2 linked regions of the Oryzias latipes genome follow. The protein of the gene in region 2 purifies or fractionates together with the protein of the main gene of each other region. This does not show direct contact. Links are inferred from orthologs where the notes say so. Each region holds a gene or a part of one and is shown on either strand. Other genes may lie near its edges.

Region 1 (4,113 bases), on a different chromosome or scaffold from region 2:
TAAAGGTTTGAAGTTTATAATTTTTGTTTTACTTATATTTAAATAGTTCTGTACATTTTATGTGTTTTTATGGTTTTGACATTTGAAGTTTGTAATAAAAACTCTATACTATGTGTTTCACTAATAAAAAAAATATTCACAAAGCCTTTTTTTTTTACAAAAAAAAAAAGAACTAAACATATAAATGTGTTAAAGGCTTTTGCATTTTGAATCATTTCATTTTTAAACCCAGCACAAAAGTTATTCTGATCCTAGAGGGTTGCAAATATCACTGTTCGACTCAGTCGGGATGCCGACATCAGTTTTAAACTGATCTGTATGTTACACTACTGTACCGTTCCTGCTGCATACCAATATGCTTACATTGAAAGTGTCAGACATGTATAGTGATATATTATTTATTTATTTATTACACCAGGCTTAGTAAAAGCCAACAGAAAGGGTTTTCATCGTTCAACTCAAAGCATTTAGGAAAGTAGACACAGTCAAGGGAATCTGCTGCAGTTCAAACTGAGCATCAGAATGAGGAAGAAAGGTGACTGAAGTGACTTTGAACGTGGCAGGGTGGTTGGTGCCAGACGGGCTGGTCTGAGGATTTCACAAACTGCTGATCCACTGGGATTTTCACGAACAACCATCTCTAGACTTTACAGAGAATGGTCTGTGGGTGGAAATGCCTCGTTGATGCCAGAGGAAGAATTCCAGCTGATAATGAGGAAACAGGAACTCAAATAACCACTGGTTACTACCGAGGTCTGCAGAAGAGCATCTGTGAACGCACAACACGTCCCACCTTGAGGCAGATGAGCTACAGCAGCAGAAGACCAAAGCGGGTGTCACTCCTGTTATCTAAGAACAGGAAACTGAGGCTACAATTCACACAGGCTCAGCAAAACGGAACAATAGAAGATGGAAAAACGTCGTCTGGTCTGATGAGTCTCCATTTCTGCTGCGACACTCGGATGGTAAGGTCAGAACATGAAAGCATGGACCCATCCTGCATTGTATCAACGGTTCAGCTGGTGGTGGTGGTATAATGGTGTGGGGGATATTTTCTTGGCTCACTTTAGGCCCCTAAGTACCAATTGAGCATGGTTCCAACACCACGCCCTGCCTGAGAATTGTTGCTGACCATGTCCATCCCTTTATGACCACAGTGTACCATCTTCTGATAAGGCACCACGTCATAAAGCTGGAATCATCTCAGACGGGTTAATTGAACATGACGTGTTCACTATTTTACCCAATAGATCACCTTTGGGATGTGGTGGAACGGGAGATTGGCATCGTGGTTTGAACTGACTTGTGGGAAAAGTAAATTGTTGCAGCTAATAGTTACTGCTGATTACCTGGATTAGACGTGTTCAAACAATAATATACGATGAGAAAAGGAGTTATTGGAGGAAAAGAATATCATGAAAATACCTGGTAAAAGATGGAAAGCTCTGGTTTAAAGTTAAATAGTTGATTCACTTCAGATTCATGATTCGCCAACAATATAACATCTCTTGTCCGTCTGTTTTAGTGTTACTAATGTAAGTTTTTTGTTTGTTGGTACACCTGTTCCTTTAAAAAAAAAGCAAATGTAGGATTTGATAGTACTCACGTGCGTTTTACAGTGGAGTCCTCTCTCTCACTCATCCCACCTGGAATCTCAGCTCATCCTCTGTCTGCCTTCACATACAAGAAAGGCACCAATCAAAACAACGTTAACTTAGCTGGTTATCTATACGTTAATAATCCGAGAGGACGCTGACTGTCTGGTTTTAGAACTAAACGACACAATATTTTCCACATCATGATCAGTTGTTTCCCTCTCTCTCTCTCTGACCACTTCGTCGTGTGTTAGCTGATGATTCAGAGTCGACGAGAAGAAGAAACTCATAAATCGACTAAAGTGAGGAAAAAAGAGGAAATGTCCTAAGTTGCAGACATAGGTTTTAGTCACTCGGACAAAAAGAAACGTCAGGGAGCTAAACTGTGTGTAAATATACACCTATTGTGCCAGAACTCCTAGCTGCTACGCGTTCAGCTACTCTGCCGAAGCTGCAATTCAGCTGTTTAGCCTTTCCTCGTCTACAAGTTGTGACAAAAACGCGCAACTATCAGACAAGAAAAAAGAGATGTTACCTTCTAGAAAAGTTACAATATTTCTGTTGTTTATCATTTACGTGCTCTTCATATCTTTCCCCCCTTCTTTTCTTGCTCCATTGTCACGTGACCTTTTTTTTTCGCCTTCAACATGAGACTTGTATTTTACACCTGGTCATCTGTAGTGGGGGGTGTCTTCAAGATTGTAGTGCAACTCCGTTGGCGCATGGTGAAGAAGATGAAGCGGGACGCACGGCTACAAATAACACGCGGACCCCATCTTTGCCCTTGAGAAGTTGGCATTTTAGCAGCTAATTTGGCTGAAAAACAAACGCATATAAAACAAGAATGGATTTTCTTACATAAAAAATACTTTATTTGGGTGTGTGAGTCCTTCTTAATATTTCTGGATCTACTTTAACAGAGAAATAAGAACTAATATCCAATTTTAATCCCCACATTCACAAATCATCTCCACGTTTAGGCAAATGCCTGGTGATTATCCCCATGTCAAATCAGAAACACGCATTTGTGTAAAAATGAAGACCTGCTCTTTCGAAATGCATTCAGATAATCAGATCTGCATTTCATAGAATCAAACTATTTTTCCTGTGAGTACTCAGAATCTGAATTATCCCATTTTGTGATAGTTGGAGTAATAATAATAATAGCAAATATAAATAAATAAGGAAGTAAACATATTTTTGAGATTCATTCCAATTGAGGAAACAAATCCCAAACAGAATTTCTAAACTTTTAAAGCCCAGATTGTGTCTTTATACAGCGATTGCTTTGTGTGGCAGTGGGTGAACTTTGAGTCAATATTTGAATATTACAAGCTACTTGCAAAAAAGTTTACATAAAATATACTTTGTATGAAAATATTTGTCAAGTAAAGACAAAAAAAGGTCATTTGCACAGTTACGCTGTTAACCAGCCAAGCTCAGACAAGTGCCTTGTCCTTAACACTATATATTTTATATTTTATAACATAATTAATATATTTATGTGAAATCATAAATATGAATATGTCTGGAATGATGGTGTGCTATTTTAAAATTCATTAAGAACCATATTCGATCTACTTTTCCCCTCCTTTTTAAAAAATTAAAATAGATTTTTTTTCATATAACAAGAACAGAAATAAAGCATAACATTGTTAAGGGGTTTCAGGAAGTGATTTCAAATAATGGTTCATAGTATTCTCTTATAGCACAGGATTTATTAAGACAGCAGTTGCTTTTATGTCTGTGTTTTGGGGTATAGAATAGTTTATGCTAATGCACAGATGTCAAACCGCTGTCCTCAAGGGTGAGAATCCTGCTAGTTTTTTTTTTTAACTAACCCTGCCTTGCAGCTTTTTATTTTTTAAAGGACACCTGATGCAGCTAATCAGTGGCAGGCAAGACTGGAGTATCTGATAAATCACCTGCCCTCCAGTTCAACACCACTGAGCTAAATTGTTAAAAAACAGTTACAATAAGGCTGCTTATGTTTTTTTAAGGTGGAATATTAGTCCAGAACACTTAATGAAGATTAAGCTGGGTATTAGAATGGAGATAATAGGTGATTTCTTAATGTTAGAGATTAGAGGAAAACAGTGAAACTGGTCCTTGATGACAGAAAGAGGCATGAAATAATTAGCCTTTAGAGCCAAAGCATGCAGCAATCCACTTCTGAATGCGCAACACGTCTAACCTTAAGGCAGGTGGACTACAGCAGCAGAGGATAATGCTGAGTGTCAGTCCTGTCAGAGATAAGAACAGGAAACTGAGCCACCAGTTTCTGAGGACTCACTTAGATTGGACAGGAGAAGATTAGAAAATGTTGGGTCAGAATGATCCATAAAAACATAGTCCTTTCCAGGCTGAAGTAAAAAATGATCTCACTCGTTCAAATCCTCTTTCGCTCCAATTGTGATACTCACACTGAATCCTTGCAGGTCACCTTGACCATGTTTAAAAGTTAATGCCATCTGATTGGCTGATCAGGTTCCAACTTTATCGTAAATGTTGAGCAGGT
Region 2 (4,311 bases):
GCCAGCCCGGCTGGGCAGGTGACAACCAAATCCCCGAAAAACATGAATATGAAGCAACAAAGGAACTTTTGGGGTTTTCTACCTGTCCACCGTTTATTGGTGGATGCATGCGGATGCAGTGTAGCAAATACAGCTTGTCAAGCTGTAAAGAAGGTTTGAAGCAGGGGTCTGCAATCTTTTCCCCTCCAAAATAAAGCTTTAAACTTTAAAAATATATTGTAAATTACAAAGTAAGTAAGTATTTAAACAGACTCTGTACTTATAAATTATACTTCTACATAAACATAAAAAACAGTTTTTTATTCTTTTGTCACTGCTGAGATAACACTACCTGTATTTCCTGCATTGAGATGATCCTATGAGGCTCAGGGTGTCTTTTATTTTGAAAGGAAGTCAAGTAAACTTCTGTCAAAAACTATGAACTGAAGAGAAAAAGAAAACTATTTTCTCTTTCCATTCATGTTTTATTTAACCAAAAAATATATAATTTATATTTATCATAATAATAACAATACCAAATACAAATAAGTGTTATTTTTATAAAAGTGGTCAGTGGGAAATCAACCTGGAGTGTTTAAGGTTGCAGGCCCCCGTTCTAAACAAAGAAAAATTTAAGTGAAAAAAGAAAAACCTTAATTAATATAACCAAGAAACAATAAAAAAAAACATAAGGTTTGACACCAATTCATTAATAAGCAGTTAATGAATGCAGAATTTATGACATTGCTTCAACTAATATTGTTTTTTTTAGTGCTCAAGGAACTTTGTCCCTGTTTTACGACTCCGGGTTTTAGTTTGTGGTTTTAACACAGTTATGGGACGGAGCATGTTGTCTGCGAGCCCATGTGAGTCTCATTAGAGTTTAGGACGCAGTGCAGGCATTCGGGATCATCTGTGAGCTGGCTCTGGGTGGAAATGTCCACAAGTTATGTCCTCCTTCTCAGTTGACACCCTTAAATATTGATTTTACATAAACAAACAGCGGAACTGTCAAGGATAACAAAGGATGAGGGAGTGAAGCTATGAGTGAGAGCAAATCTCAGTGGAAAGATGGATATTTGTGTGGGAAGCTTGTTCTCTTTGCCTTTCAAAATGTCCTAAAGACCCACTCCAATGAAAATTGTGTTTTTAACATGTTCTTATGGTATTTTTCTGATCATAGAGGACATATATCAAGAAAATGAAATTTAAAATGCATTTTTTGAGTATTTCTTTATTTAAATCATTGGGAATAAGGAGCAGATGAAAAAAATGCAGTTTGAAAAAGAGCTTATTTGTTTCCTAGAAAATATACCGGCCGGGCCACAAGCTCACTGCTCTGCTTATGCATCCACTTGGAGACAAATGTACGTCTTTGTTTTCCTCATCCGAGCTGGAATCTGGCCCCAAACTATACAGCAGGATAGCTCCGATATTGCTCATCATTTTTGTTGCACTGGTAATGTGAGGTTGGGGCCGTGAGGCGCTGGACGCCAGCGAGAGGGCATGTAAATAAAAGGGACAATGGGACATCAGCGGAGGCTTACTTCTGTACCAACAAGTCAGTGGCGAGTATTACTGCCGCTCTGCAGAAACTATGTCCTAGAAAACGACACAGAATTGTTTTTAATTTGAGCTAAAAAAACGTATAATCATTGTAACAAGAGCACCGGTGACGCTTTAAAAATAGATCAAAAGATGATTGGAGTGGGACTTTAGTGTGTGTTAAAAAAATATTGTTTTTTTTTTGTAATCGCAGCATTGGTCTAAACCACAATAACAAATGTGCATATCTCCATCCTCTAAGTATCTTTGTTTATCTATGCAAAAGTGTCCTTTTACCAGATAAATCAAACCTTTAAACAATGTGAACATCAGACTGTTTGCATAATAATTCAGGATTATGGAGCATGGTTTAAACCAGCAGGCTGCACTATCTAAATCATGGCTTAATATCCTGTCAGAGAACAATTTAGAGGAAACTACAGAACTCTAATACTTACACAAAATCCCCATTTTCCAAAATGAGTGACAGAAGTCTGGGCTCCTTCACCCCAGACCTCAGCTCCTGACATCTGACAGTGTGAGCAGCAACAATCAAGGATTCATAGAGACGGATTCACAGAGCTGCTAGCAGAGTTTAGCGCGTTACAAAGCCATGCCACAAGAATATAAGACAGCAAAGGAGCAGGAAAGATGGCTCCAATGTAGCACAGTTACAGTTAGCGTCGTTATGACAAGGATTAGGAAATGTTTCTTAAGGCGTTAGTAACATGACACTTGTCAATACAGCTGTGAATAAAGGTCAGAGGGCCAGTTATACTGATTTTTACCCATAAAACACGAGAAAAACGTCTCAGCTCGTCCATTAGCATCAAGCTACTACAGCACTTAACACAACTCAAAGGATATTGCCAGGCATTCATTGTCGCATAATCCCGAAGAGGACTCCATTCTTACAGACCTCCCGTTGTCCGGTTTATGTTGACACCACAATAAATAAACGCCGTTTTCGTGGTAGATGAAGTTGGGACGGTGCCCACCCGGCGAGGCGGCCTCCTCCCGGCAGCTGTTCCGAGGTTTCGGCTGCTAACGCAAAGGGCTGTTTGGTTAGCCAGCTGTTGTTGGAGCTGCTGGAAGGACTCGGAAATGATCAACCGAGTGGAGCGACCAACATATCCTGGTTTGGATCCAACATGGTGTCTAAAATAATTGGATATTCCAATAAGATCAGGTTGAGTTTCAGTTGAAAAAACTTCTAAAACACTACAACATTAGCAAAAAGAGTTTGTTGTGTCGAATCCACTCCTCCCTACAACGAGAGGCGTTTTGTTTTCTAAGTACAATTCGGCGCGTTGCCGCCCCCGTGTGGTATGGCGTCGGAACTACAACCCTGGCACAATTATTACACTTCTAGCTCATCAACATTTTCCCATGCTTCAAATATGTTTTACTTTTGAGTTATTCAGAGAAAATATTTATTAAACCGAACCTTTATTAGCTGAGCTAATCATTTGGGACACGGCTTTAGTAGGTTTTTATAGAGCTTGTCCATAACTGTAATAATAATATGTTTTTCATGTCTTTTGAGTTTTTAAATGCAGGTTAGCTTAAAGTTTTCATGAGCAGATGAGGTTAGTGTCCAGCCTGTTTGTAGGTCTTTGCTTTATTTAGAACAAAAAAAATGAATGAAAAACACCAGTTGTTGTTTATTTTATTTGTTGTTGTTTTTTTAAAACACAAAAAAAATTAGGAACAAAGATCACTTGTTTTTTTAATAGAATGCAAGACGCTTCTACACTTCAGTACATATTAAATATGTTTGTACTCAATTTATTTTACATACAGTTTAGTAGTGTACAGTTATGTTATCATTTCTTTAGAACAAATTACTTTAGAACAAATGTGATCTCAACACAGTGATAGGAAACAAACTACTCAGCTCAGATTGCTTTAAATTCAATCTGAAGCAGCCCACAATGTTAATCATTTTGTACAGAACTGATGCCTCACAAAAACTGCCTCACAGATGTCTTTTATATTTATCAAACTTTAATTCCCAGAAGGATTTGTTCAAAACGGTTGTTTGACCCATTTTGATCAACCTGCATAAATCTTACATGTTAGAGTTTGTTTCCTGTAACGGGTAAAAGGCACATTTTTTATTTTCCTTCATTGACCGTTGACAAAGTTTTACAGCAAAATGTTGCTGACATGCAAAACCTCTAAATGTGCCACATATTAGAGCCCGGTAAAGCCAACTCCTTTCAAAACCACCAAAAAATGAAGCAGGTCAACCTTTACAGCACTCATCCCATCAGATCAATCTAACAGATTTTAAGGTCTGAGCCTCTCTACAAAGGAAGGAAGAAGAATATATTGTATGTGCATTTAAACCAGGAACTGGTTTAAATCAGTTTGGATATTTATGTATTTTTATGATCATATATGCTTTAAATTTAACCCTTCAACACAATTGAGACCCATTTAAAAAGCGAGCACAATTTTTAGAATGGGTCAGGTGAGTTCAGCTGTTTTTACTAATATTTTCTTTTTAATTATGACTATGATTTTTAATAAAGACTGTTATAAAGAAAGCAAGCAGAGTCAATCATAGCATTTCTTATTCTGAGGGCCTACTCTGTGCACAGCTGTCTCTTGGCACCACTAATAAACCTTTTGTATTTGTTAGTGCCCCCAACGTGCAGTGTGGGGGCGCTGTTTGATCGTTCAATAGGCTGCGAGATCCACCATGCGTCAGGTTTGCAGCTCCAGTATCTTGAGTTCCTGAGTCCAGGGGCCAGCAGCCATTGCCTGGGGAAGAAACCAGAG

What was found. The genes of interacting proteins can lie anywhere in the genome.
Region 1: the proteins of ocrl (region 2) and fam109a purify together in Homo sapiens (co-immunoprecipitation; 5 studies listed by BioGRID and IntAct, counting the BioPlex papers as one, with this or other methods). This does not show direct contact. The link is inferred for Oryzias latipes from reciprocal best matches to the Homo sapiens genes OCRL and PHETA1.

Annotation. Positions count from the first base shown.
Region 1 is NC_019867.2:7,425,200-7,429,312, reverse strand, and holds the start of fam109a (sesquipedalian-1), read right to left. Parts: upstream 2,809-4,113; 5' UTR 2,131-2,808; intron 1,675-2,130; exon of another isoform or gene 1,671-1,674; 5' UTR 1,607-1,670; intron 1-1,606. UniProt on the Homo sapiens protein: Plays a role in endocytic trafficking. Required for receptor recycling from endosomes, both to the trans-Golgi network and the plasma membrane.
Region 2 is NC_019868.2:9,844,934-9,849,244, reverse strand, and holds the start of ocrl (inositol polyphosphate 5-phosphatase OCRL-1), read right to left. Parts: upstream 2,812-4,311; 5' UTR 2,434-2,811; coding exon 2,392-2,433; intron 2,063-2,391; coding exon 1,983-2,062; intron 1-1,982. UniProt on the Homo sapiens protein: Catalyzes the hydrolysis of the 5-position phosphate of phosphatidylinositol 4,5-bisphosphate (PtdIns(4,5)P2) and phosphatidylinositol-3,4,5-bisphosphate (PtdIns(3,4,5)P3), with the greatest catalytic activity towards PtdIns(4,5)P2.